Linked DNA regions of Arabidopsis thaliana. The protein of the gene in region 1 interacts with the protein of each later gene in a pairwise test. Each region holds a gene or a part of one and is shown on either strand. Other genes may lie near its edges. The genes, in order: UNE16, SOT12, AT2G17150 and HAM4.

Region 1 (7,028 bases):
TCCACAACGCTGTACCTGCGATTTGCTCTGATCTTTGGAAGAAAAACTGATCTTCTCTCTTCCCTTTTGTACAGCTCTTAACCGACCTCTCAGCAACCCAACTTCACTCTCTATTTTCAGTCTTTCATAGTCAATAGCTGACATTGAATTTCTTCGCATATTGGTAGACATGTTACTTTTCCCTTGTGGAAATGCATAACTTGTATCTGAAACACTTTGTGATCTGTCCAGTTTCAGATCCTGAGTGGCATGGTCAGAAGGAACATTCAGTTGCCCCTTGTTATCTTCATCAGTCACTACATGGATGTCATGTACATGACAATCAATGTCGTGAGGGTCCTCACAAAGCTTCTTAGAAACAGCAATGTCGCTAGTTCTTGATACTAGTTCTGCATATAAAGTTTCACCTTCCTCTCTTTCTTTCAGTTCTATATCACTCAGGGCATCAAATGGCTCACTTCTTGACTGATCACACTCAGTATTGTCCATCTGATTAGTGAAGATCTCAAATCCAGAAGAGACATTCACAGTCTCCATGTCATCCCATGGTTCAGTAATCTGTTGCGGCGTCTGCAATCTTTCGATTTGAGCTGGTTTAGAATCTGGAGTATTGTGAGGTTGCTCAGTCTCAAGAAACATTTGCCTGTAGGTATCAACTTCCTTCTCCAGAAAATGTTTCTCCCTCTCCCTCCTAAGCAAAATTTCTTTAAGAATACTCATCTCTTCCGCATCAAAAGCAGACTTTTCTTCTATCATCCGCTGATATTGCCTAGCTTCCATCTCTATCGACGCCTTTTCTTCTTGCAACCGTAATATCATACCTAAAGCCTCATCTGCAGCAGATGCAGCAGCATTTCTCTCTTTCTCAAGTTCAAGAGCTAACGAAGCACGTGCAGCTCGTTCTTCCCCAAGCACTTGTTCTGACATCTCAACCGTCCTCTGTACCATACCAGGGGAACTGCATGCACCCTCTCCCACTCCACACCCAACAGAACTTAGTGAAACACTTTTCCGCAACGACACATCCTCCAATGCTTTTCCACTATCTACAATGTTACAACTTGCATCAAAATCAACATTCACTATCCAATATAATTGAATAAAGACAACAAAAAAACTTACCATTGGAGTTCACAAGAAGAGGATCATTTTCATCATATGATCCCTCAAAGCTCTTAAGGCCTAAACAACTTTGGTAATGGTTCTTGAAACCATACGGCGACCTATGGAAGCTAAGCCGCTTACTCTTAACTTTAAAGCTTCCTTTTTTCAAACTTTGCGCAGTTAAAAGATCGAACCCTGAAGCCTTATTCTCAAACTTTCCAACAGAAGGAGTAGTACTAGATACCTCATCTTCCAACTGAACACGTCTACGCTCACATTTTCTCTTCTTTCCACCATTATACAGAATTGAATCAAAAGGTGTTCTATTTTTAACAGATCTTTGAACAGAAGAGATCTTTTTAACCGGAAGATTCCTTAAACTCTCTTGAAAACACTCACTGTATAGACCATCACAAGGACATGGTAGGTCTAAACCAAATAAACCGAGGAACTTCGATGTTACATAAACGATAAACGATGCGCAAAGTAGCGAAAACGCAACGGAAAGATCGATAAACGCAGCCACTAAACCTTTAAATGTCCATGATTTTACCTCCTGGCAACGCATTTTATACCTGCAAGTATACAATAATCTACAGAAATTACTCAAAGTTTGAGAAATTGGTTAGAGAATCAAATTGTTATTTGAATCAATTACAAGCATATATCCAAATCTAAGACTAATTTGGTAAGTTAATCAATCAATCAATCAAATTATATATAAACACAATCGTTACCACAGAGAAAACTCAACGATGAATCAATCGTTAACACAGAGAAACTCCTTGCGATTTGATTAATTTTTAGTAAATTAGAGAATTGAAACTCACACGAAGAAGAAGAAGTTGAGAAATCTTGGGGAAGCAAGCACAACGTAAACGGCTCTTCCTCTGCCGTTTTTATTTTCTCTCTTTGTTCAAAAATCAAAACTTCTTTTTTAGTTTTCAAAACTTCAGTTGCAAATCACCGTACGAGTGAGCAGATACGCCGTCATTTTATCGCCGACCCCATCACTCTCTTCCTCTTGAGATTTTTTTTTTTTTCTTTGACATTTTATTTTACACACGTAATCAAATTTGTGCATTTACGCAAATGTGTGCCAACTAATTTGTAGACAAGATCCAATCTATAGCATGGAGATAAGTTATGAGTATTTAATGAGTATTTTTTATGTTATACAATTACATAAATTCTATATTTAGGTTTGTCCAAAAAAGAAAAAAGAAGGCAAGCTTAGAAAAAGTTGAAGCAAATACACAAACTAAAAGAGAGGCTACAGATTCAACAAATATATACATAGACGCTAAGACAAGTTTGATGACAGAGTTTAGAGTTAAATACAACATAGCAAAATTAAATAAGCTAAAATCTGGTCTCGCTCTCTCTCTCTCTCTTGCTAACTTCATCCAATGCTACTACTAGGCATAACCCATCCAGCATCATGACCAACAACCACACTATCTCCATTTCCAAACACTCCTCGTTGTCTCTTCTTCATCAACGCAGCTGATACCGGACTTCCTACAGTGCTGGAAGTCAGAGAGCTCTCTGCTGAACAGTTGTTCTTGTGCTCTATTGCTACTGCAAGCTCGGATAAGGATGGAATCATCATTTTGGTTGTGTCGAAGGTGCTTGTTGTTCCTTGGCACCCATTGGTGATGGAGGCCTTTATGGCTAGCTCTGAAAGCTCTTCTCTAGCTGCCTCTAACCCAGCAAATGCAACAGCTTGCTCCTCTATAGCCTTGCAAGCTTTCTCTAGAATTGATTGCAGGTACTTCCCTTGTGCCTCGATCCTTAACTGGAGTCGCCTTTGCACCTGCGTATACTAATGGATCTTATTAAATGTGGAACCAGGGCTCAAACATTAGTATATGCGGTTTCTATGGTTCTAACTTTCATGAAAAGATTTCCTAAGTAGTAACGTTCTGATAAGCTTTAAGGAAATTCAATGGAGGTTTCTATATAGTCTCTCATTAACCAAAGTCTCTCTGGTATTTGGTGAATTCGAAGAAGAAACTAACCTCTAGTTGCTCGTGTAGTCTTCTTTGGACTTCCATCTGGGCACGCAAAGCTTCAGTGACCTGGTAACTCCTGGCTCAAGACAAAAACAATGAGTGTTATAGACAGTGAATATAACACTTGGAATAAAGAGAACACTTGAAACCATACTCGTTCTGTTCTTGAGCAGCCAATCTTAAGGATGATGTTGAAGATGAACCAGTGTCCTGACTCTCCGCAACACAAGAAACTACAGAGATATAAGTTCACAAAGATATAAATGCACAACTGAATCCATAAAGATATAAATGGATTCTTAGCTAAAGATATAACTGAATACCATCCTTAGAGTTGTCAATTGATTCTTTACAAGATTGCCTCCCCAAGCGGAATTTCTACCGAGCAAAAAACCAGAGAACAACACAGTCAAAAAGCAATGAACTTTGTTTGTTATAAGTAGCCAAAGAAGCATAATTTGATATTGAAGGTAGTAGCATCAAAACCTGAAGATGAGATTTGAGATGGTAAAGAGTGAGACCCTTCACTCCCATTGTTCTCATTATAGTTTTAGGCGTTGCTTCTGACATCAAACCAAACACACAAAAAAACTAATCTTGTAAACAAATCTCAAGGCCAATAAAAAAAACCTAAAGAATGCCACAGTAATTCCTAAATTGTTCTAAGTGACATAAACCCAAGAAATCCATTCTATTTCAGGATGATTGACTTCCAAATCTGAAAGAAATTAGACCTAACTCGTTGTCAAATTCTTCGTACTAACTGAAGAACAACAGATTAAAAAAAAAAACACATTTCATTCTAAGATCCATAAATTTCTAAGAAGGGACACTTACTGTCGGGTCCGCCGAGCTGAGTGACGGCGTCAACGAATCTTTCATGGAGCTCAGAGGTCCAACGAAGGCGAGGCTTGGGGTCAGTGGTTAGGACCAGACAAGCGTCGATGGGAAGATTGGTTCCGTCAGAGTAGTCTCCCAAGCTGCCATCTAGAGGAAGCGAAGACCGAATCGCCGAGTACATTCTTCTTTGATCCCCACAAAGGAACAAACTTTTCTTCGTTTCTTTTATTTTCTCGGCTGTTTTCCCGGGAAAGTGAAAGAAAGTGTGAAGAAAGATATTGTGGATTTCTAAGACAGCGAAGAAACGAGTTGATAGATTGGACAAGACAACACTCGGATAGTATTTTGTGTTTATATTTGTGCATTATTGAATTTATTTAGATATTTTCAAAAAAAAAAAAAGAGAGAGCAGAATTTATGTTTTGGTTATTTGTACTCTTTGCATTGAAATTCCAAATAACATATATGTTTTGAAAAAGTAGTAAGATAAAATTTCTTTTAGTTATTATTTTCGTTTTTCAATAGCAGAATAAAACTTCAAGTTCTCTATCTTAAGATGGTGCTAACTGCTAAAATAAACCAAATGAAAAAAGAAAAAAATAGGGTCCTCAATTTTTTTTTAAATATCAAATCCTTTAAACCTACTAGACATTTTTCCAATTATTTTTCTTTTATATAATTCAAGAGAAAAAAAGTATTCTTTAGCTTTAGTTTTTTAATTTTTATATTACTATTGACAAAATTTGTTTATGTAATAGCAGTTTCCAAATTCAGCCACATAAAACATTAAGAAATCAGAAGCACATCAATCATTCATATGCATAAAGAGAGACTCTGTTTCTTGGCAACATAGAATCTTTATTTTGAGACACTTTCTCTTAATCTACAATTCATCAATTTTAAAGCCATAGATGCACGTATATATGTAATATGTACACATATATAAGCCCCTAAAAAAGGATGGGGTATGAAAGATAGTGATAGTTACTTAGCAATGGTAGTAGAAACAAAGGAGTGGTTCGTTTTGTTAAGTCATCGATGGTCTCCTTTGCTCATGATCAACTCCTGCATCAACTCCAACTTTTCCTCAAGAACAGTCATGTGACTATTCTTTCCTTCAGGATAATACTCTTTGCTCAAGTATATCGTCTAGTATCATATCATTGCTGAGAATTCAGCTTACCCGTAAGGTTTGGTCCATGATCTCCTTCTTTGAGCGAGAACCAGAGCTCGAACTTTGGAACACAGACTTAACCTTCCCAAAAGAGGCGAGTGAGCTACCAGGCTTTGGCTCTTACCAGTAATCTTTACAAGAGCAAGCACCTCCTTCAAAATGATGAAACCTATATGCATCCCTCACTATGATTTCTCGATTTGATACCTTAGATACAAACTTTATCCAAGCATGGCAATCGTTGCAAACACGTAGGTTCTTCATTACATTTATAGGCACTGTTGCAGGCAAGCTAAGGAGTCCAAATGAAATTGCTAATTTCTCGCTGTGGATGAAAATTATTGGATCTTTTTGCTCGTGCTGCAGTTCATTCAATAGGCTGAAACAGTCTTGCACATACCCGATTTCAGATGCTCGTTTGGTAAGATCTTGGAAGTATTCATGTATCTCATCTGCTAACGGGTGATTCTGGTCACCAACATAGAAAGAGTGAATTGAGTTTTTAACTTCAATCCAACTTTGTCCCGGTTCTTTCTTCACACCCTTTTCTTTCATCTTTTGTCTTGTAAGATCCCTAGCATCCCATTTCTTGGACACCGCATACAGATTTGACAGAAGAACATATGTTGCTGAGTCTTCAGGTTCTAACTCTAGGAGATGATGCGCTGCAAATTCTCCTATTTCCATGTTCTTGTGCACTACACAAGCACTCAAAAGTGTTCTCCAGACCAAGGCATCTGGCTTAATAGGCATTTCCTGAATGAACTCTTTCGCACGGCTCAAAAGACCAGCTCGAGTTAGCATATCCACTACACACACATAGTGTTCCGGTTTAGGAGATAATCCATATTCTGAATTCATGGATTCAAAGTATGCAATCCCCTTGTCCACTAGTCCTATGTGGCTACATGCTGATAGAACTCCCACAAGCGTCACATGATTAGGCCTTACATTAGAATGTATCATCTGGTCAAAAGAATCTAGTGCTTCAGAACCAAACCCATGTTTAGAATAAGCATTAATTATCGCATTCCACGAAACTTCATTTTTCGTGGAGACTTCAAGGAACTGCTTCTCTGCATCAGAAATGCTCCCACACTTGGCATACATAGAGATTAAAGCATTGCAAACTTCGGTTTCTGAATCGTATCCGGTTTTGGTGATCACAGCATGAACCTGCTTCCCTTGTTTCATGTTAGCTGTCTCAGAAGCAGCTTTCACAGCAGACCCAAACGTGAAATTATTATTGTCAATTCCTTCTCTGTTCATTCGAACGAAGACACGAAGTGCTTCTTCATTGTTTCCACTCTGCTGAAATCCGGATACCAGAGCATTCCATGCTATATTATCTCCAGCTTCAGTTTGTTCAAACGCTAAATACGATTCCTCTATTTTTCCGCATCTAGAATAAAGTGTAACCAGTGCATTTTGAAATGGCAGGTCAGATGAGAAACCAGATACACAAGCTTGAGCATGAATTTGCTGTCCTTCCTTTAAGGCTTGAAGACCAGCACATGCACTAACTGCATTTGTCAATCCAACTTCATCAGACCGAATCCCTCGATCCAACATCTGCCTGAAAGTTGTTAAAGCTTTGTCGTCGAAATTGTATTGCGTGTAACCTGCAATCATTGTTGTCCAAGACACAACATCTTTTCCAGCAAACCTTATAAGTATATCCCAGGCAGTATCCAACTTTCCTAATTTTGCATACATATCGATGAGCACACTACAAACATAGGCATTGAGCTGAAAGTTAGTTTTTATTATTTGACTATGGATTTGTTCTCCAAGCTCCAGATCCCCAAGTCGTATGCAAGTTTTCAAAATACTCGGGTAGGTATATTGATTTGGAACAATTTCCTCTATCTGCATCTGTCTGAAAATCCTAAAAG
Region 2 (6,320 bases), on another chromosome or scaffold:
ACTTTTTATAATGAATATTTGGGAATGAAAAGAAAAAAAAAATCACTCGAAAGCAAGTGAACCCAACCTTTGTTTTCTCCTTGCCAAATTATGAACCCTAAATTTTCAAACTTATAGAGTGATTGTTTTTACGGTTCAATCGCGCGTTTTATATTTTTCAGTTTTTTTGAGTAGTGTTTAAGTTGGTTGTTGGTCTAACTCGTGGTACGAGTTTTCGATTTCTATAATTTCTAGTTCCTTTTTTATTTCTAACTTCATATGTTTTTCTCTTAGAGCTTACTCTCAGGAGAACTATCGACTTTGTTTTATTTTCTAAAAAGAAAAATAAAATAAAATAACTTTAAATCAAAATATATAGCCATAGATGTATGGTACAAGTCATCATCCTGACTAGATGCTGATTCTATCGACACGTAAGATTTTTGTCTGAATGATCTCAATAATAGAAGAACTTTCAAACATGATTATGTTCGTTCACTATTAATTCAATTTTTTTGAAAATAATTTTTGTCCTAACACTTCTTTATTTTTTAAATATCATTAGGATAGAGTATTTGAGTCGACTAATCTAGACCCATAATCCAAAATATTCATATAGATGAACCGTTAACCATTTGACGAATAAACTTCCTCAATAGATTTCATAAACACCTAAAAAGACAAACAAGCAAAAACTAAACTTTTTAAAATCAGCTAAGACACTCAAAAAGCATTGATAACTAATTAACTATGATATTTCGACTAAAACGAATATTAGCAATTGTCAGGCCCATTAAGACTTTTAAAGCCCACAAGATAATTTCTAACTTATATTTTTTTTTTGGTTCTAATGTTCTTATATTTACGTAACTGATTAGTACACAAATTATTTTAGCGAAAATTGACTCAACTAAGTTCATAAAAAGAAGAAACATGGAATTTCAAAGCTAAGAATACAACATAACATTTCTCAAGAATGACTCGTTTGAGTCCTAATTTATTTTCGGATGACAAAAGAAAAAAAACACAACACAACCTTATTGAAATATCAAACCGGAGTCTCCTAGTCTATAGTCAATAATCTCATCAAAGGTTTTCGCCATTTGTGGCGTAAGATGATTCTTCCAATCACCAACTTCACCTTTCCTAAAGAACACCTGAGAATCTACACCAATTCTCGTTGTCCCATTCTTATTAACCTCCAAATTGCTTAAATTTCGTAAACTACACAACTTCAAGATCTCCTCCACCGATCCACTTTCTTCTTCTTCCTTGGTGAATGGACATTCCAAGAACTCGGCGAGTCTCTTGACTTGAACACGAGGCTCCTCAATTATCTCTTCGTACTTCATGAAAAGAACATTCTCCTTTGCTTCCAAGCTCCCTTTCCAATAGCTCAATACATGTTCCCAATAAGGTCCATATAAGAGAACTCCTCTACAATAAGCATCAAACATGAGCTCAAAAGTGGCTTGATCCATCTTGGTGCGATGCAACATGTTTCTATAATGCCAGCCGGAGACAAACGTATCTTTGATACCTCTACACACATATACGGTTTTGCAAGCTTTTGTGGTGGCTTCACGCAATGCTTGTAAGTGCATGTGTGTAGAAAAGATCATAGGAGAAGAATACTTTGCGAGATCCGGAATTTGGCTATTAGCGTATAACTCAACCTCAAGAAATGGGACAAGGTCATGAGGGTTTTGTAAGAGCAAAGGATGTGTTTGAGGGGTTCCGCGGTACTTTTCTCTATGTACAACAGCGAAAATTAGGGATTTGAGCCAAGTGGTTCCACCTTTGGGCAAAGAAGCGAGGATTATATCAGTATCTCGTGGCTTGAAGTGTTTTTGGACGTCAAGAACGGCTTGGAGTGTGTTTGGATAGTACCAACAACCTTTGTAGTTGTAGAGACCATAACCCATGAAATCTTTGTCTGAAGGTAGAGAAGTGATCAAGTTCTTGGTTTCTTGACTAACGTTGTCGTCTTTCATGTAGTTTGGAAGGTGATGAGCTTCTTTAGAAGCCTCCATTGTGATAATTTGTTCCCACGATTTGAAACACAAAGAGAGGATAGTGAAAAAGGTGAACATAAAAGAGTTTTTATTTACTTATTTGATGCTTTGAACAATTTGACCTTACAAGCAGATGGTTATATTTCATAGACAAAGTGTTTAGGGATTTGTTTTAATCATGCGTGGATCTTAAGCCACACATTTCCTATATTACGATAAGAAATCTTATCTTGAAAAAAAAAAAATACTTGATAGATTTTGACTCTTTGGAATTGTAGTTTAGTCGTGTACTAGTGTCTAGTGGCTAGTGCATGTGCGGTGTCATAAATTTAAATCTAAATGTGATAGTGAGCGACAAAATTTTGTTTCTTTCTAAAAGATAATAGTATGATTCAAGAAAACACAAACATAATTTATTTCATTTTATTCATAAACACAAACACAAACATAACAGCAGAAAAATATATAAAACAAGAAATAACATAATTGAAGCAAAACAAGAACATGAGAACAAGTTTCAAAGATTGATTCAAGAAGAAAATTTAAGACCAGAACCTTTAAACTTCTCTTCAATGGTTCTATCAATTTCCTCTGCCAATGACTCACTCAAAGTATCTCTCCATCCTCCAATCTCTCCTTTTCTAAAGAAAGTTTTAGTCTCTATTCCATTTGGCAATTTCCCTTCTTTGTTAACTTCCAAATTACTTAAACTCTCAAAGCTACACAACTTCACAATCTCTCTCACTTCTTCTTCTTCAATAAAGCCACATTCCAAGAACTCCGCGATCCGCTTCATCTCAACTTCGGTCTGCTTCTTTAGCTCCTCGTAAGTAACAAACAAGACCTTGTTCGGATTCTCGCGGCTTGCATACCAGTACTCCAATATATGATCCCAAAAGGGTCCACCTATAAACTTCCCTTCACAAAACGCTTCAACCGCTTTTTCGATAGGATAATCCGCGGTTTCCTCAGGAGCTAGCTTTTTCCCAAAATGCCATAAGGACACAAACATGTCCTTAGGGTTCCTACAACAATACACAATCTTACAAGACGAGCTCTTAACAGACTCGGGGAGCGAAAGATGCGATATGTGCGTGTTCATCAGTCTTGGAGAAGGCAAACTGGAGAAATCGAAATCTGGGGACTCGTAGTAAACTCCTTCCAAGAAGGGCACAAGAAGGTGTGGATTGGTGACCAGAAGAGGATGGTTACCAGAAGAAGAAACTGGAAACTTGTGTCGGTTAAGGAGAGCAAAGACAAGAGCTTTTAACCAAGTGGTACCTGATTTAGGATTAGTGACGAGGATAATGTCGGAATCTTTAGCTTCAAAGCGTTTTTGGCAGATCAAGATTCCTTGTAAAATAGCTTGTGTGTGCCAAAGTCCTTGGAATTCATATATTTCACTCACTAACCAACCTTTCTCTTTAGGAAGAGAAGAGATCAGAGCTCTTGTTTCTTGTGTCAGATCTTCATCTCCCAAGTAAGCAGGAACTGATGATGATGATGACATTGTTGAGACTTGAGAGATCGATCAATCTTGAAAGTATGAGATCTTTTGCTTAAGCTCTCTATGTATCTATGATGCTAATGCTTGTCTGCTTTTATATATGAATGAGAAGGTTGTTCTACAAGTAAATTTCACAATGCTTTTGCTTCTAAGATATTAGTTTGGGTGGTGAAATGGTCAACACATCCTTTACTTGAAGAGCACGTAGAATATAATATTTAAAGATAACAAAACAAGAAAGAAGGAGAATCACGACTCTTATGTCTAAAACTCAAAAACAATAGTTTTATTTCTCAACAGACCAGTTTGGTGACTTTGGTCCATCACAACAAGTCAACAACCTTACTTGTATTAAGCCAATAAAAAGAAGAAAAAAAAAAGCTCAAGAAATTGAGAACTAAGTTGGTAAAGCAGATTCTTAGCAAAAGAATCTAAAATCAGAACCAATTAGTTTCTCCTTAGTGGTTTTATCAATTTCCTCTGCTAACAAAGGAGTTAAAGTATCTCTCCATCCACCAATCTCTCCTTTCCTAAAAAATGCCTTAGTCTCCATTCCATTCAGTAACTTACCCTTCTCATTAACCTCCAATTTACTCAGATTCTCAAGACTACACAGCTTTATGATATCTTCCAATACTCCATTCTCTATCTCTTCTTCTGTAAAAGAATATCCCAAGAACTCGGCGATCCGCATCACCCACTCCTGAGGCTGCTCTCTCATCTCTTCATACATTACAAACATAACCTTTTTCGGGTTTTCTCGGCTTTCTTTCCAATACTGTAATACATGATCCCAAAAGGGTCCGTATATACTAGACCCTCGGCAAAAAAACCTCACCATTTCCTCCATTGTGCATCCAACCATCTCCTTAACAATCAAATTTTTCATGAAATGCCAAAGTGAGACAAACGCGTCCTTCGGGTTCCTGCAGCAATACACAACTTTACAGGACGAGTCCTTAACTGACTCAGGGAGTGACCCTACAGGAATGTGTGTAGAGAAGATCCTAGGAGAAGTATCTTGAGTGTGAAGGTGGAAACCTTCGATAAAGGTCACGAGGGTATGCGGGTTGTTATCGAGCAGAGGATGGGATACTAGAGGGGTTTGGAATTCTTGCCTATGAATCAAAGCAAAGACAAGTGATTTCAACCAAGTTGTACCTGACTTAGGAATGCTTGCAAGGACGATGTCTGAATCTCTGGCCTGAAAATGCTTCTGGCTATATAGAACACCTTCTAAAAGATTTGGTGGATACCAAAATCCCTGGTATTGATAGAGATACTCTGCAAAAACGCTTCTGTCTCTCGGAAGAGAAGACAGCAACTCCTCGCATTCTTGGACTAACTCAGATTCTACCAATAACTTCGAAAGAGTGGTTTCGGATTTTGTCATAGTGATATGAGCCAAAGCTTTTGCTCTTGCTTTTGTAAATGGACCCTCTGTTATCTCAGTAATGATTGAATTGCAAAGAAGTGCTCAAGCTTAAAGAACAAAGAGATTTAAAGCAAGCTTCCTCTTAACCCAAGTCTCTCTTAGAGGCTAATTGTTGGAAGTTGTGTTTTCATTAGCATAAAAATCCTTTATATAAGCCATGAAATCTTAAAAATAAAAAGGAAAAACATCAAAACCCAATAATCATATCACACAGATTGTACTATTGTGGTATTGCTTGCACATAACTCTATATATAACTAGATTATGAACATCTTAAAATGTGAGATTTTTCTCTATTTTTATCACTTTCTTTACAAAAGAAAGATTTATGATTTCAAAATAAAACTCTATCTATGAATGATAGATATAAATTTATAAAAAATGTCAAAATCCTATATAAAAGTACCAAATGTCGAACTATAATAAGATGCATTATATGTAGCTGCATAAAAGATAAGAGTATCTATATATGTTTCCTCATTAAGCACAAACAAACAGCAAGAACCAAAAAATGTACTTTCTGGATTACGAAAGATCTAGAAAAAGTGAAGAAGGGCCAAAATTATTAACTTGAATAATAAAGTAATTGCTAGATTCTATTATAAATTAGCTTCCATTCAACAAAAGAAAAGTTTTACATCTAGTTCTAACCATTTGTTTCTTAAAAGTCTTGCAGCATACAGATTTAAAGTTCCTCAGAAGTAAGAAGTGGCTAAAATTCTCTGAAGATAAGTCCATACTAAAACGATCCTACTTGTCGCAAACACACCAACCTTAACAAGAACTTTAAAATGTGTCCGAGAGACGGAAAAGACCACTCACTTTTAATCATTCGACATCAGCAGCTCCCAATAGGTATGATGTTGGTGCATTATCTCCAAGCAGTGGAATATACTCTAATCCTCTCACGTGAACGCTAAAGCAAGCTAATAAACAAACAAACAAAAAAGAGTTACAAAAACGTATTGGTTGGTATCTAATAGTGTGCGGATATGAGATTTGTGCATACCGTTCTCTATTTTGATCACACTTTGAAGCATCACTTCCATCTTGGATTTCATGTCATAACTGTCATCCATCTTTGGCACAACTAGCATTAGTTCCCTATGAATCTGTCGAACAAACTGACAAATCCTCTGCGCGAATTCGATTTCACCGTCTGATATGCGACCAATTGCCATCCGCATTAGCTCTCCCGTCAAATCTGCAAGCTGTGCAAGTAACAAACAATAATCAAACATAATTCAGAACTCCAAACAATAGAGAACATCTTTGACAGTAAGTATTAACCATAAATAAAGATGGTCTAAAAAATACCCCAAGAATATAGTCGAGGATATTGATCTGCAACGGCTCTAAAGAAGGGTCACTAAGTGGTACAAGC
Region 3 (9,942 bases), on another chromosome or scaffold:
GTGCTGCTCTTGGTAACTTAGGCAATTCATATATCGGACTGGTGGATGATAGCTTGATCGAGAACAACTGTTTGCCTGACCTGATCACGTATTCAACTTTACTTAATGGTTTGTGCAAAGCTGGAAGGTTTGCTGAAGCAAAAAATTTGTTTGCCGAGATGATGGGAGAGAAACTGCAACCGGACTCGGTCGCATATAACATTTTCATTCATCATTTCTGCAAACAGGGGAAAATATCATCTGCATTTCGCGTTCTCAAAGACATGGAGAAGAAAGGTTGTCATAAGAGCCTAGAGACTTATAACTCACTGATCCTGGGCTTAGGCATAAAAAACCAGATTTTTGAAATTCATGGACTGATGGATGAGATGAAAGAAAAGGGCATTTCACCAAATATATGCACCTACAATACTGCAATCCAGTATCTTTGTGAGGGAGAAAAAGTTGAAGATGCAACTAACCTCCTTGATGAAATGATGCAAAAGAACATAGCCCCAAATGTATTTTCCTTCAAATATTTGATTGAAGCGTTCTGTAAGGTCCCTGATTTTGATATGGCCCAAGAAGTCTTTGAGACTGCTGTAAGTATCTGTGGACAGAAAGAAGGCCTGTACAGCTTGATGTTCAATGAGTTGCTTGCTGCAGGGCAACTACTAAAGGCTACGGAGTTGCTCGAAGCTGTTTTAGATAGAGGTTTTGAGTTGGGGACTTTTCTTTATAAAGATCTTGTTGAGAGCTTATGTAAGAAGGATGAACTAGAAGTAGCTAGTGGAATTTTGCATAAGATGATAGACAGAGGATATGGATTTGACCCTGCAGCATTGATGCCTGTGATAGATGGCTTAGGTAAGATGGGAAACAAGAAAGAGGCAAACAGTTTTGCTGATAAGATGATGGAAATGGCTTCAGTTGGTGAAGTAGCAAACAAAGTCGATCCAAATGCAAGGGATATACACCAGAAAAAGCATAATAAGAATGGTGGAAACAACTGGCAGAATATATTACACAGGTATGGATGACACTTTCTCCTTCTGGTTTGTCATCATTTATTGTTTCTCCTGTTATAGGCGCCGTTTCAATATGTATTTTAAGATGCTTTTATTGGAGGTTTTGTAGTTCTGCTTTCTCCTTTTAAAGTTTGGTTTTTTGAGGAAAGAAAAAGATTCCAAGATTTGGAGTAAGCATTCGTGTATATGATTAGGCAGTAGAGTCTTTGGTTTCAAGTGAGTTTACATTAAGAATATCGGTTTAACTGTCTTGTCGGAAACCTAATGAATGTTTTCTCTATCAATCGCTATTTTGCAGAGATGACGGTAGTGGAATTGCGTTAAGGTCTCTGTCAAGAGTTAAAAAAGGATGGGGTCAAGGGGATATATCAAGCTTTCAGCCTCCAAGAGTTGACTACTTAGACTACTGGGAGGACGATGGTTAAGGATTTGCATGACTCTGTTTTCTTTCTGATGGGAAAGTTCAGATGGCGCAAGCAAGTTTTTGAGGTGCAGCTCATCAAGGATGACAGGTAAAGGTAAGAACGAATACTGTTGTAGACACGTCTGAAATACAACAGCCTTCTGATGTAGACACGTCTAATCTTTTGGACAAAAAAACAAAATTCTCGTTAAATCAAAAATCAATTTAAAGTAACGTAGAGTAGGACTTCACATCACTTTCTTCATTTTCTTCCTACTTTGGACAGTAGTATTTAATTTTATAATCAAATAATGATCTTGTGGCATACTCTTTTGATCATTGTCTCCATGCTCATGTGTAAGATGTTAGCCTTATAGTAGCTTGTGATGTACAAGGTTGAGAGATCTCTAACGAAGCTAAATATAACTCTCTGGTAAAAGTATCACGGATAATGTTGAGGAATCCAATCTATTTTTAATAACCTTCATGTTCAGTGGAAAAATATTTTAGAATTGGACCCTCACCTTCTGTTTTCCTGTCTTTGTAGCTAAGCTGGTAGAACCAGACAAGACGACATGGCTGGACAAATATATCCTTGTTAGAACGACGTTTAAACATAAGAGCTGCCTGCTTTCATAAAGAATTTGAGCCCAACTTTGAATTTTGGGTGGGAGGAACACAATCTACATTATTGGAGAAAATGTAAGCTTTCTTGTGCTTTCTGTCGGCACATTTTCTGGTTCTGGAACAGTAGGAGTTTGTAGTGGGGATACAAAGAGACTAAGTTTTATAAAACGTGGAAGACCACCAAGTGTTAGCTGCTTAATTGGAACTAGGTTTCTTCTTAAACATAGCCATACAGATTATTTTTTCCTGTTTTTACAATATCAGTTTTAAATGTTTAATCTCATAATCAATATCATGAAATGGATATTCTTGAATCCCGGCACATTATTTTCCATGTACATCAATGCAATCATGGACTAGATAGTATCCTGTAACCAGACATGTCCCAAAAATAAATAAGCGAAACACACAGAATTTTTCAATCGCCATAGTTCCAGTCTTGCAGAGTTTAAGAAACCAGACAATAAGATTGTACATGCATAAAATACAAGTCTATGGAATTCATCTCTTTTATACAAAAATCTGCTAGGGCAATACAGGAGACCAGTTACTACTGCCACTTCCAAAATGTTGTTCAGGGAACTGGAAATATGTTTATACAGGATTCCCATGCTGAAAAGGTAAGTGAGATTTCTACAAAAGCTAAAAAAATCAGTAGAATCTTCCTGGTGCTTTGCAGTTACAAAACTTCGTTTAATGTTTTTCAGGAAAGACCAGTGTTGCCAAAAGAACCACTTAGCTTGACTTGAGAAGCTTCGTTCAGACTTATTTTAATTGTGTGGGTCTGTGTTAATCTATATATGTCAATGCATTCCACGAGATCCGCTTCACATGTCAGAAGAACCCACTCCTTATCATCATCCAGGTACTTAAGGTCAAACCAGGAAATGTCATCTATGTTGAAACGCCTAGCAATCTCTTGCTTCAGCTCTGCGAAGCCCCAACTCGGGAGTAAGGTAAACCGTATTCTGGCCTCACCAAATGTCGCTTTCACTTTGATGGCACCTCTAGCTCTTAAACTCGTGTTGCTACTACCTGTTAATGGAGATGAATTATCAAGAACAAGAGGCTCCTTGAATGTTTTATGGCTCTGGGTTCTTGCAAGACATTTTGTTTCCTCCTGATTCACATTATGCAGTTGTGCTTCGCTATGAGCTCTCTTTAACACCGCATCAGCATCCTCAGCAACTAGAATGTTTCCAGTATTCTCATTATTGTTGCTTGAACCAGAGCTCTTGCTGCAAGAAGATGATGGTGACCTGGGGTTTTCCTCTGCCATAATACCATTATCGGTTTGAGCATTCAAATGACTTGGCTGTTCATTACTCTTCAAGGAAGGGCCATTGCTAGACATATTTGGGGAGTTCAACTCTGGGAAGCTTGTATAGAATGAATCGAGTTGGATAGAGCCCTGCGCACCTTGGACAGAGTCCATAACTAGTTGGAGTTTCTTCAACGAATGCCCAACCTTCTTGATTTTTCGGGAGGGCCATCGCATTATTCCATGTTGCCTGCATATCCTTTTCAAGGTAGTTGGACAAACTGCAACACAAGAACGAAACCTTGTCAGATCACTGTCTGAGAGACAGATAAATAGCCATGATGAAAATGTTTGTAGAGCATGATGATTGATCCACTACCACATAGATATAATGTAAGACTGACTTCTGGTTTCATTGATATTTATGTATATTGGCCATGGAGTTTTCACATATCCTGAGGCATGAATTTTTGTTCAACATATTCATTTGGAATGTTTTGGGTTTTGACTAATGAACGTAATGGTTATGCTTTTCCCAAGAAACAATAAGAATCAAAATTCATAAAGAATGGGGCTATGTCACCAGCAGTGTACAACATTCTCTTACCACCAATGCTCTTGGCTGCATCCTTGAGGCTTCCAGCAAAGTATTGTCGAAGAACCTCCAAGCCAATGGTCTTTTCTGTTTTTGCTCTTTTTTTCTCCCCTGGTCTCCTACTGCTTAACATATTTCCCCCACCAGTCGAAGCTGATTCTGTGCTTGGACCGATGTCGACTCTGAGTCCTGGAGTTGATGCTTGCTGTAATTGCTCAGCTTCTAAAGGAACATTATTGGGGACTGGATCAAGCTGACTGTTCTCCCGGCCAGATGAGAGCTCTTTAGGATCTTCTTTCTGGTACTCCCAAGAAAGTGATACATCTTTACCCTTCTCGTTTGCCTTTATCATGTGGGCGATCCATGAGGATTCTTGCATTTGAATTTCTGTCAACGACTCTACGGTTTCTGCTCCACATAGCAGGTTTTCTGAGAAGAGCATTGTCTCTCTTACAGGTAATACGACTTCTAACTCTAGGTCTTTGATGAAAAGATTTGAACTCCTGAAATCTTGCTGCAGTGTCACACATAGTGACTTGAGCATTTCCTGTTGCGCTTCAGTGTCAAGGCATGCTTTCGGAAAGAAAAATTCCAACACAAACTCAACCAAACCAGATTTGCTCTTTAATGGAACTGCTAAAGCAGCATGTAGTCCAGATATCTTGGCGTGGTGTGCAAGGGGGTAGTTAGTCTTGCTAAATGTGGCCACTTCGGGCACAAAAAAGAGTTTGGTGGCTTCAAATGCTTTCCCAACAATGCCTTCCCCCTGGAGCAGATGGTGTTCAGAGCATGCCTCCCAAAAACTTTTGCTCTGTTCGTCGGGGACAGAACAAGCAGAATCGATTGTTGAAACACACTCAGAGAAGTTCTCATCAGAATGTCGGGAACCAACTTTCCCTTGCCGAGCACACGGCGCCCATGACAAAGCTAGAGGAAAATCATATGATCTGCAGATTGTGGCCAGGAAATCTTTTATTTCAGGTAATGCAGCACAGTAGAAATCACTATAGACCTGCAGAAACTGAAACATGGAGTATGACCTTAGCAATGCATATCGTTGTTTCTAGGAGCTGAATGAACTAAGAATCCAGTTAATGCACCTCAGAGCTTGGAGTGTTCAAGTTACTTGAACTCCTTAGATCGACGGCCTGCAAAACAGCAGCGTCTTTAGACTGTTGTGGCACATAAACAAAACTTCTCACTGTTATCACAGACATTAATCAAAGAAGATTATGGCTGAATGACTGACAGGAGGAGACATGATGCAGAAAGAAAGATGTAGAACAATCAAAGTACAAACGTATGCAGAAGATGTTGTTGGACTCTAAAGAAAACCAAAAAACAAACTGGACAAATGTGAGGAATTGAATAATGAGCAAACAGAGAAAGCCATCCAGTGAAAGATACATTCAAGCATGAGGTTTACTGGTTGTATGGGTCTAAACATGTGAGGTAAGCGTTGCGGGATCTATAGAGTAGTTTGAGGTAGAGGCAAAACCTCAAGAGCTTTACACATCTTCTCAAGTTCTTGCCGGTAATTCATCTTCTGAGTTGTTGTGACGATCTCAACAACACCCAAACAAGTCCCACTACCTCTTTCGAAAACAGGAAGGGCAAGTGAACCACGAACATCACACTTTTGTGCTTCTTTGATGCGTGGATATTCATCTCTTCTAAAGAAACGCACATCAGGAGTCCACTCAGGAAACTTCTGCAAGAAAACACGACCGGGAAGACCCACAAAATCTTTCATACCCTCATCAGCCGGGAAATTATAAGTCTCTGAAACATGTCTGTATTCTGCAAGGCTGGAGTATTCTTGGTTGAATAAATGTGGCTGAGCCCAAGTAGTAAGAAAGCTCTTCCCTTCCTGCTGAATTGGCACCCATATCTGAACCAAGAAGTCCTTATCTTGCACCGCCTCGTTAAGACCACTAATAGCTTGTAGTAGCCTCTCCTTCACAGATGAAGACGGGCCTTCACTTGCACTTGGAGCAATCCACCAACTTTTTCCCACCTCAGCTTCTTCTAGGAGAAACTTTTCAGCCTGAGGAAACATTCTCTCTGTTTCTTCATTAGAGAAATTATCTTGAGATGGATTCTCACCAAAGCAGAGGAAAGGGCTATTGTCATTCATGGCGGTAGAAGCTGAAGGAGATTGTTCTGTCTGCTTCAAGCTCTTACTATCTGTTGTCTCTAGCCAACATCCATCAAACAAGAGTTCATCCATGAAATCCAAATCCATGGCAGTGTCAGCGAATGCCCCAAAGCTAGAATTAGGTGAAAACCCACCATTTCCTTCGCCTCCATCACTACCACCATCATCTTCCATGTCTAAAGATTCGTTTTTATACCTCCAACAGATACTACCAAATCCTCAAGTTCTCAGAGACTGTGCTTAGCTGTTGTTTACTCAAGAACCGAAACTCATAAGGGTCTTGAAGATGAATAGAGACAAGACAAAGTCCTCTCCTTGGAATGTTAAAACCCAATCTGAAAAAGTTGCAGAAACATTGTCAAAGACCCACCCAAGAATAAGACAAGAGAAGAATCATATCATAGAGATGCTATATAATCTATATAAGTAGCTTCGCTTTCAATGAAGAGTTGACTTAAGAAGGTATCCATCAATCAAAGTAGAGTGCCATCAATTTCAATTACAAAATTCTCACCTATGGACATGGAAACGAAATCAAATCTGATTGTCCATGAAAGGGTAAGATTTTCACCAAAAGTTACTAACTTTATCAAGATTTGTTTGCACAAAGAAACAGAAAAAGCTTCACTTTGGGACCTATACCCAAGAACACTTAGAGAAAGCACCAACAAACAAAAAAAAAACATTGAGAAGATGCACAGACTGGATTTTACTCTGTCTAATGTAAAAAGTAATTGGTCTCTCTATTTCTTCATACATATAATGGTAAGCAAAATCAAATCTGAGAATATATATAAACAAAACAAAAACAAAACCTGTGAAATTTCTTATCACAAGAAGCTTCTCTCTTTCTTGAATGGTGTGTTCTTTTTTTCCTTCTTTTTCTTCTGGACACAAGTACTTGGTGAAGGTGAATGATTAAGATTGTTTTAGTCTCTAAAGATGTAATTATGAGCTTCAATATTCTTTTTAGAGAGCAAGTGGACCCGTGATAAGAGCATCCACTGTTCTAATCACACTTACATACAACTTTGTCTGTACCTGTAAATCTGTAATAATAAAGAAAGTAAACAAACAGTCGCTTGGTTTCTCAAATTTAAATCAATCTTTTCTTCTGAAAGAAAGATCAAAGAAGGAAACAAAAAAAAAAAACAAGTTTCTAAGTTTTGGTTTGGAGCCTGATGGTTAAATGTTCTTATTTAATCGTGTGATTGGTGTTATTCTGACCTCCTCTTTGTTGCCCCTAATCATAATTAATTCGTATAAGATTATTATTATTATTACTATAACAGTTGTGGTGATTACGTATGCGTACACTTTGTTTTATTTCTTCGTCGGTACTTTGTGTTTTTTTATTCGGGGATGTTTCATTGGTTAGAACTTGGCTGTATCAATCGGATCAAGATCATTTCTTAGAGAAGACATGTCTTTCGTGTTGAACAGGTTCGTTCGTTCATCAATATAGTTTGACCTTTAATACTTTATTTTCGATTTCTCTTATATGAATATTCTTTCTGACATCAGCTCGAGTCTCAAAGTTTAAAACATTTTGTATATAGGATGGAATCTATATATGATCGATATATAAATAATTGCATTAAAGGCATAATGATTCACACAATTATGGTAATATTTATTCTTACACATGAAATTGCTATTTATGTTCCAAAATGTCGTCATTTTATTAATTTCATGACAAAAATTACTGTCATAAGTTGGGTGCTAACTAGACAGGTTGTGAACTTCCCAATGTTACACATTATCTAAATCGATATAAAAACAAACCCAAAAAAAAAAAGCGAACAGAAGAAACAAATCATTCATCTTAGGTTTCATCATTCAACCAAATTTAATGATTAAACTTGAATATTTGTGTATATAATATATTAATATGTACATTGATATCCAACGGGTCGGGCTTAGACGCTTAGTTAAATGATCAAAACGGCCCTCAATGATTTGGGGAGCCATAGTCCGATCCCCATTAGCCGCGTCCGGGACAATGACATGACCAAACCAAAGGTCATCAAACTCTTTGAAAATAGTTGAATCCTCGTGTAAATCATAAATAACGTATCAATAATAATCAAAGGTTTATACTTTATACTATAAATGCGCACGACGTCTCTTTCTCTCTCTCTCTCTTCCTCTATTTCTTAGATTTGTCATTTGTTATTCGTCTGAATACGGCAGGTCCTATCTACACATGTAACAATAATGTCGTTTAAAATTAGTGTTTTTAATCTCACTGCCAGTACTATAAGATTTTGATATCATATAAGATCAATATCATTGATCGATCCGAGACAAAAGAAAGAAAAACTAAATTATGTTCATTAATCGTTATGTATAGCGTAAGTCGTGTGATGTCAAACCATCTCGTGATTGAGTATGATGGGTACAAAAGCTAGGAGACCAAACCCTGAGGTAAAGTAATTACTGATTGTATGAACAATTTTTGTGTGAGCAAAAAAAAACCTGTAAAATATATATATATGCCCATGATAAGATGATATCACATTTTTGTAATGAAAACGGTGTGATTTAACTAAATTTTATGTCCTTATCTTGGTGCATACAAGGCGTTTTCAAAGATACATATAATAATTTCCCGTACAATCGAATAGAAGCATTGGATTATTGGAATAATACATGTTTTATCGTACGGTAACTTAAGTGCTTACTCGGTTCTGTTTGATAAGGTATACGAAACAACATTTTCAAGCTTATGCCTTCTTAATGATCTAATTAAGTATGCTTAACTGTTTTTATTTGCTTAATGGATATGTTGAAGTCAAAGAACAAGAGGTAATCAGTTCTTGCTTGTCTCTTCATACTATTCATATCTGAATGTGATGTTATATAATATATTCTTATTGTAGGAATCGTGAACCCTAAAAGTGTGACATTGATTTGGTACTAAATATCATTGTGAATCTGCTAACTGGAAAGCGAATTCCTCCAAGCCATGTAAGCCATTCTGTTTCAAACCATGTAAGCCATTCATCTTGACTTTGTGACTTTAATCCTTAGAGAATCTGTCTTTTTCAATTCCTTGCAACACAAGTCACATTTCTGCTGAGTAAATTAGTTGTGATATAGTAATCCTTAATTTCTTGCCACACAAGACACATATTACTGAGTTGTTATCCTCCTATTTTTAGGCTCCTGTGAGGAGAAACGGAAAGTTTGTTACTGAGCTGATGAATCCAAATCTCAAGGGAAAGTTCTCAACAGAAGAAGCTTTCCTAGTTTTCAAACTCGCCTCTGAATGTTTGCAGTGCGAACATAGAAAAAGTCTCATCACAAAAGAGCTTGTTGCAACACTTAAAGCCTTGCAAACTAAACCACACGTAAGGAGCTAGGCTTACTATAACCATATGCATTCTTGATGATATTTCTCGCACTCGTGTTATAAAACCTATCGTTTTGCTTGCAGATTCCAAACATTCAAATGCTTGAACTGGAAAAGTAGCACGAGGTGGGAGCATCTTCCAGTCAACAACAACAGTTTGAACTGTTTAGCGTTCTTAAGTATGCAGATTCCAACTTCTTCTTAAGTTATAAAACCGATCTTTTGTTTGCAGATTCCAACTTCTGAAATGACAAAGCAGAATCTGGAGGCATCATCTTCAAGTCAAACTAAAGCATAAGTAAGAATAGGACTTATTGTTACCCTTAATGAATTCTTTATGAGTTTTCGTACTAAAAAACAGATCATCATCATCTTGCTTGCAGGTTCCATCTTCTAATATGGAAAATTTAAGCAGAAGAATCATCTTCCACACTGAATCTGCTAGTAGCTTTAACAAAGCAACACTTCTCGAAGCAAAGAGATCCAACAACATGCATGGTTAGGGAAGAAGAATCTTGAGTTTATGTTAAAAAATA
Region 4 (6,674 bases), 9.4 Mb from region 1:
CCTTCAAATTAAAAACAACTTATGAGAATTGAATAATATGTTTTGGCGATATTATATTATTACACAGGTTCTCAGCAGTCAGCACAACAACTTAAAATTTTCTTTATCAAAAACAGTTTATGAGACATTATACTTAGTATAAATCACGGTATACATATTATAAAACTACCAACACAGAAACGAATAATAAGAAAGAAACCTTTGGCAGTGGGACAATTTTGGTAACGAGAGGATCCATTGGTCGATCAGTAAAAGAATATTGTCAGAGTGGGAATATAAGATATGATCGTCATTCATTTGTTTTTAATATACAATCACGTGTGTTAATAAATAGAACTTGTATTAATTACCAACATTATTTATGAAATATTCTTTTCTTTTTCGACAAACTCCAATCATGTGTAGGGAAGATATTGCCATATTTGGAGACGTTAGTGTATATGCAGAATAATTATCATTCATAAATTGTATTGCATATAATTAAAACGTTCGTTACCCAATATCAGATGGATTTAAATAAAATAGTTGTACACATAGGGCCATCATTTTTTCAGGGAATTAGCTGTATGAACGAGAATCAAAAGTGATAGTGTAATGATTTTCAAGCTAACAAGACGTAACATTTTGGTGGTCTGTGGACGAAATAATTTCTGAGCATAATGAAAACATTGGTCTAATACTGGCATTTTATTATTATTATTATTATTTTATTATTTGTTTAAAATACTGGCAATTCAATCTAACAAAAAAAAGGCAACTAATTTGGCGAGTGATTTCAGTTCGATAAATCATTGATTATTTTTCTTGCATGTTCCACATATATAAACTATAATATTATGGTATTTTATGTATGATCCTCGAAAATAAACTAACTAGTTGTTAAGCATGAGATTAGGATACAAGTGGATCCCATTGCATGTAGGCGTTCATACGGTGGAATATTAAACTTGATTATTTCTCTTAAATTTTTAAAACATAACAGAAATGTGGGCTTAATCATTAATTTAATGAGAAACAACTAAAAAAAGTTGCCACAAAAAGAACTTTTAGTATTTTAGTGTGTTAATTGAGCCGCTATACCGCATAAAATCTAAATTATATAACACAGATGAAGACTTATGTAAGAAAAAAAGTTGAATTATGTTAGGAAAAAGGTGTATTAATGAGAGGAACCTTTTCTCCACGATATTAAAGGTTGAATAATGTCTCAATGAGAAGAAGCTTTTCTTCACGAGAACTATATGATGTTTAAATTTCGCAAACTAGGCCATATTTTGCGAAAATGGTGAGTTATTAACCTAATATGATCAAACATTCCTAATTACACAAGGAAAAAAAAAAGAGAGTATATTCAAAAGATTGAGGAAATGGTTTTGCATTCTGGTACACCAAACCAAATAGAAAAGAAAGAAAACAAAAAAGGAAGGTAAATTTCCATGAAAATGAAAGCAATAAGTGAAGGAGAGAACATATTCTTTCTTTTTCCTTTGCGAGTTAGAGAGAAGAGTGGGGGGCTAAGCAAAAGAAAGAAGTGGGCGTGATTCTTACGCGCTGACTTAATGATCAGTCAATCTCTGGCCCATGGGCTTCTCGGTCATTTTCTCCGACATTATTACCTCAAAAGTTAGCCCATTGTGGACCCGCTTACTTTCCCCCTGCTTTTTACCGTGTTATGTGGGCTCCACATAAAGCCCAGTGGTCACTCCCTTTTTCCTTTCCTTTGTTTTTTGTCGCAAGCAGCGGGGATTAGTGTCCGTTAAACATCATCGACTCAAATTGTTTCATGCAATTTTCCCCTTTTTTATTGGTTATCAATCGAATAAACCTCTCTAGCTTTTGTAACTAGTTTGAGATTATTATGTGATATATGCACGGTACTAAATAAATACATAATATTGTATTTTGTGTGGTACTAACAACTAGGTTTAGTGAGAATAAAAACGACGTTGTAGAGTTTGTTTAGTAAGAATATTTTTGTCCAACACAAACTACTTTTAAAAAAAAATTCCAAACGTTGATATACCTATTGCCTATTGGAATAATCAACGCAGATTCATAGTTTTTTATTTATCTCCATACTTGGGTCAAAAACGTATGAGATTTAATGATCGAAAACAATATCCACAAATATGAAATATTTTAACGCTGATCTCAAACTCAGGTACAACATAGTTACATATAGCCGTGCTGCTATGTTTGAGAAAGATTATTTTTGATCACTTAAATTGTCATATGTAATAAAAAAAAACTTTCAGTTAAATGTTTTTGTAAAATACTGTTTAAAATTTTAGGATGAAAAAGACTGAAAAAAAACCACTCAGACAAAAAAAAGAGAGAAATCATTAACCTTTTTAAAACATCCTTTTTCTCTTTTATTTTCAACTTTCACATTCTTGATGATCAACATAGTGGAGCTTGGATCTCTTTTCAATCAAATGATTTATTTTTATTTTTAAAGCAGAGGAACTTTATTTGTATTTTATCCCTTTAAAGAGCTGTAGAAGTTTCCTTTTCATTAGCTACAGAAGTTGCTAGTTGTGCATAGTATATAGTTTTGGAGATATATTATGAGAAATTAATACAAAATAAAAACTGATTTAAAATCTTTCAGTTGAATTTCATGTGAAATAGTATGTTATTAATAAAAAACGGAATCATATACAAATCATTGTCAATCAGATTGTTTCGTGTATAAATATTATTCTGTAAAACCAAACAAACCCGGATCAGACACGGTTACCAAAGTTGAAATCTCTTTATTTGCACGCACTCACTCAAAGATAAAAAGCTTACCACTCTCACCTTTCAAAAGCCCCGCCACCTTCTTCTTCTCCCACACACAAAGAAAAAAGACAGAAAGAAAAAAACTTTTTTTCTTTTCGTTAAAGGCTCCACCTTTCTTTCTTCTTAACACACAACACATGAAAATCCCTGCATCATCTCCTCAAGACACGACCAACAACAACAACAACACTAATAGTACTGATAGTAATCACTTATCAATGGACGAACATGTCATGCGTTCAATGGATTGGGATTCCATCATGAAAGAATTGGAGCTTGATGACGATTCTGCTCCTAACTCACTTAAAACCGGTTTCACCACAACCACAACAGATTCTACTATTTTGCCTCTTTACGCCGTCGATTCAAATCTCCCTGGCTTTCCCGATCAGATTCAACCGTCGGATTTCGAATCGTCTTCCGATGTTTATCCTGGTCAGAACCAAACAACTGGGTACGGTTTTAATTCTCTTGATAGTGTCGACAATGGAGGATTTGATTTCATTGAAGATCTCATCCGAGTCGTGGATTGTGTTGAATCGGACGAGTTACAACTCGCTCAGGTGGTTTTATCACGGCTTAATCAACGCTTGAGATCTCCGGCGGGTAGACCGTTACAGAGAGCTGCGTTTTACTTTAAGGAAGCTCTCGGTTCGTTTTTAACCGGATCAAACCGGAATCCAATCCGGTTATCTTCTTGGTCCGAGATTGTTCAGAGGATCCGAGCGATTAAGGAATATTCCGGGATTTCTCCGATCCCTCTCTTCTCTCATTTCACGGCGAATCAAGCGATACTCGATTCGTTGAGCTCGCAGTCGTCTTCTCCGTTTGTTCACGTGGTGGATTTTGAGATTGGATTCGGTGGCCAATACGCATCGCTTATGAGAGAAATCACTGAGAAATCTGTAAGCGGTGGATTTTTAAGAGTTACGGCAGTGGTGGCGGAGGAGTGCGCCGTAGAGACGCGACTAGTGAAAGAAAACCTAACTCAATTCGCGGCGGAGATGAAAATTCGTTTCCAGATTGAGTTTGTGCTGATGAAGACTTTTGAGATGTTATCTTTCAAAGCGATTAGGTTTGTTGAGGGGGAGAGGACCGTCGTTTTGATTTCCCCGGCGATATTTCGTCGTCTAAGTGGAATCACTGATTTTGTTAACAATTTACGGAGAGTATCACCTAAGGTCGTTGTATTCGTGGATAGTGAAGGATGGACGGAGATCGCCGGATCTGGATCATTCCGGCGAGAGTTTGTTAGCGCTCTTGAGTTCTACACGATGGTGCTGGAGTCGCTCGACGCTGCAGCTCCTCCCGGAGATTTGGTGAAGAAGATAGTGGAAGCGTTCGTTCTACGACCGAAGATCTCCGCTGCGGTAGAAACGGCGGCTGACAGGAGACACACCGGCGAAATGACTTGGCGGGAAGCGTTTTGCGCCGCCGGGATGAGGCCGATACAGCTAAGCCAGTTCGCCGACTTTCAAGCTGAGTGTTTATTGGAGAAAGCGCAAGTTAGAGGATTCCACGTGGCGAAACGACAAGGAGAATTGGTGCTGTGCTGGCATGGAAGAGCACTTGTTGCCACATCAGCTTGGCGGTTTTAGATAAACCGGGTTTGGTTTAACAATATGATATAGAATAGAATAATTGTATTTACCGCCTTTAATATCTCTTTTCTTTTTGCTGTTTATCTTTCAAATAAAGAAATAAAAATATTTCTTACGAAGAGTCTCTGTATGAGCTAGAGTCTTTTAATGATTCATAATCTCCTCTATTCAAAACACAAGTGACCTTTTTTTTGCGAGTGTGCGAGTTCGTCGTCAATTTGGTAAAACCGTCGTACGAATCGCCGATGAGCGGGTTTGCTTCACAGATTCCATCCATGGCGCTTCTTGGATCTGGACTCACCGGCGAGGTAATCTTCCTTTAGTTTGATTGATGTTTCCGATTGTACGGCTTTTGTTCCGATCCGTGATTTGGGGATTCGTGATAAAGTTTATGATTAAATATGTATATTTAGGATTCCTTCATCTTCTGCCTTGTTGGAATTCAGATTTCTTCTGTACTGGATTGTTTTTTTGTTTGGATTACTCTTTGACAAAAGCCGATTAGAGAAAGAGGTGTTTCAATTCCTGATCATGTGGATATTCTCAACTTTTGGATTGAGAGAAACAATTGTTTTTCTCAATGGAATTTTCAGGTTGGGTTGCGTGTATTGTTCTCTCCACTTAGTTCCAATATCGTACTTCGTACAGCATGGTGAGTTTTTTTTATTGTAAGGTGAAGAAAGCCATATAGTTGCTAGAATCAATGGTACAGGTAGACGAATGAATTGGAGGAATGATTTGATTGGTGAGATTGTGATCTGATTGAGTGATTCTCATTACATGTGAAGCAATGGGGTAGGGAGGGAGTTTTTTTTTTTTTTTTTTTTTTTGTTGACATAGTTATTAACTTAGCCGAGTGGACAAGGGTTCTATTCTACTTGTTGTGATACTTTAGGGTATCTTTTGGACAAGGGTCAATCTATTGTTGGGGAATCTGGATTCTTTTTGTTTTATCCGAGTTTTTGGTTATTTTCTCTATTAGAAGGTGTTATAGCTGTAGTTGACTAAAGGATTCGGTTATAAAGGACACGTTTGTGTGGTATGTCTGAAACTTGTTTCCTGCAGCTGCTCCATTGGCATCGGTTTGCCTGTGTACTCTACCTTCAAGGCAATTGAGAGTGGAGATGAGAATGAACAACAAAAGATGCTTATTTACTGGGCAGGTGGGATATTGTTACTGCAATTGTTATGACCTTTCTAATTGCTTTCCTTATTCTTTGACTGTTTATCTTCAATAGTTTTTTTTCAATCTCCCTTGGCCTTCTTTCACATGGAATTTGATGGGGTTTTTTCTCTATCTTCACCTTCTTTGCAGCTTATGGTTCTTTCAGCCTTGTTGAAGTGTTCACGGACAAGATCATTTCCTGGTATGATTGACATCTTGAAACTATATACAATATCTTGATGGTTTTGCTGTTATGTTAGACAAATAAGATATTTCTTCTAATGGACTTTATCGAGAGAAATGGCTTGATTATCTCGATAAACTCGCAAAGTATTGATACTCAATAACCTCGATTATTTGCAGGTTCCCGCTGTACTATCATGTGAAGTTTGCGTTCCTCGTCTGGCTTCAACTCCCAACTGTTGAGGTACCTATCGGAATCTCTTTAAACCATCATCTAACGAGTAGGCAGCTTTAACCCGTGGTACTCATCAGTTCTGATATTCTCTATATTCTTATTTGCCGACAACAGGGATCAAAACAGATATACAACAACCAGATCCGTCCTTTCCTCTTACGACACCAAGCTAGAGTGGACCAACTTGTGGATGGTGTATATGGGGAAATGGTACACGATTGCTTTCTTTTGAACTCCCTTATTCTTCAGTCACTTTTAACTAACGCTTTAAAACAAAACAAAAAACTGCAGGTGAAGGTCGTTAGGTCACACCAAGGAGAAATACGGTTTGTCCGAGCAATGATTGCCAAAATCTTGGGATCAGGTTTGTTTCGGAACTCTAATTTTCTATCTTTAGTGTAATACTTTGCTATCAGGGTATTGAACTGACTATTTTATTTGTACTTGCTGTGTTGTTCCAACAGTCAACGAGGATGCACCACGACTAGGAGAAATAGCAAATGGTAGCCCCGTTTCAGAAACAAACTCGGATTCAGAATCCGATTCCAATCACGAAGACTAATAAAACAAAGTGTAATCGTAGCTTTTGCAGCTTCTACAGTCTTGTAGGTCAAATCTCTATTACACAAAAATGTCAAACGATTGTATAGTTACGTAATCTCAAATGACTTTGGACTCAGTTTTTTTTATCCGGTGTTGAAAAATC

What was found.
Region 2: the proteins of UNE16 (region 1) and SOT12 interact in a two-hybrid assay, tested with the Arabidopsis thaliana proteins (one large-scale study listed by BioGRID).
Region 3: the proteins of UNE16 (region 1) and AT2G17150 interact in a two-hybrid assay, tested with the Arabidopsis thaliana proteins (one large-scale study listed by BioGRID).
Region 4: the proteins of UNE16 (region 1) and HAM4 interact in a two-hybrid assay, tested with the Arabidopsis thaliana proteins (one large-scale study listed by BioGRID).

What each region holds. Positions count from the first base shown.
Region 1 is NC_003075.7:7,934,358-7,941,385, forward strand, and holds UNE16 (Homeodomain-like superfamily protein), read right to left. Parts: upstream 4,289-7,028; 5' UTR 4,141-4,288; coding exon 3,957-4,140; intron 3,683-3,956; coding exon 3,606-3,682; intron 3,498-3,605; coding exon 3,443-3,497; intron 3,353-3,442; coding exon 3,274-3,352; intron 3,196-3,273; coding exon 3,126-3,195; intron 2,930-3,125; coding exon 2,507-2,929; 3' UTR 2,249-2,506; downstream 1-2,248. Other genes in the region: AT4G13630 (zein-binding protein (Protein of unknown function, DUF593)), read right to left, coding at 1-1,046, 1,123-1,672; AT4G13650 (Pentatricopeptide repeat (PPR) superfamily protein), read right to left, coding at 5,254-7,028. UniProt on the Arabidopsis thaliana protein: Transcriptional activator. Probable component of the central regulatory system controlling transcriptional responses to Pi starvation. Binds in a sequence-specific manner to phosphate starvation-regulated promoters.
Region 2 is NC_003071.7:1,146,952-1,153,271, forward strand, and holds SOT12 (sulfotransferase 12), read right to left. Parts: upstream 3,713-6,320; 5' UTR 3,505-3,712; coding exon 2,524-3,504; 3' UTR 2,344-2,523; downstream 1-2,343. Other genes in the region: AT2G03750 (P-loop containing nucleoside triphosphate hydrolases superfamily protein), read right to left, coding at 1,017-2,072; AT2G03770 (P-loop containing nucleoside triphosphate hydrolases superfamily protein), read right to left, coding at 3,920-4,894; AT2G03780 (Translin family protein), read right to left, coding at 5,765-5,862, 5,946-6,147, 6,254-6,320. UniProt on the Arabidopsis thaliana protein: Sulfotransferase that utilizes 3'-phospho-5'-adenylyl sulfate (PAPS) as sulfonate donor to catalyze the stereospecific sulfate conjugation of 24-epibrassinosteroids. Preferred substrates are 24-epicathasterone and 6-deoxo-24-epicathasterone.
Region 3 is NC_003071.7:7,464,309-7,474,250, forward strand, and holds AT2G17150 (Plant regulator RWP-RK family protein), read right to left. Parts: upstream 7,279-9,942; 5' UTR 6,867-7,278; exon of another isoform or gene 6,566-6,866; intron 6,387-6,565; 5' UTR 6,226-6,386; coding exon 5,392-6,225; exon of another isoform or gene 5,111-5,391; coding exon of another isoform or gene 5,042-5,110; coding exon 4,994-5,041; intron 4,915-4,993; coding exon 3,906-4,914; coding exon of another isoform or gene 3,823-3,905; exon of another isoform or gene 3,580-3,822; coding exon 2,741-3,579; 3' UTR 2,379-2,740; downstream 1-2,378. Other genes in the region: AT2G17140 (Pentatricopeptide repeat (PPR) superfamily protein), read left to right, coding at 1-1,009, 1,306-1,432; AT2G17160 (Interleukin-1 receptor-associated kinase 4 protein), read left to right, coding at 8,446-8,478, 9,216-9,404, 9,639-9,704. UniProt on the Arabidopsis thaliana protein: Probable transcription factor.
Region 4 is NC_003075.7:17,303,139-17,309,812, forward strand, and holds HAM4 (GRAS family transcription factor), read left to right. Parts: upstream 1-2,619; 5' UTR 2,620-2,921; coding exon 2,922-4,382; 3' UTR 4,383-4,510; downstream 4,511-6,674. Other genes in the region: HVA22K (HVA22-like protein K), read left to right, coding at 4,631-4,693, 4,979-5,037, 5,451-5,548, 5,701-5,752, 5,914-5,977, 6,083-6,178, 6,260-6,332, 6,433-6,530.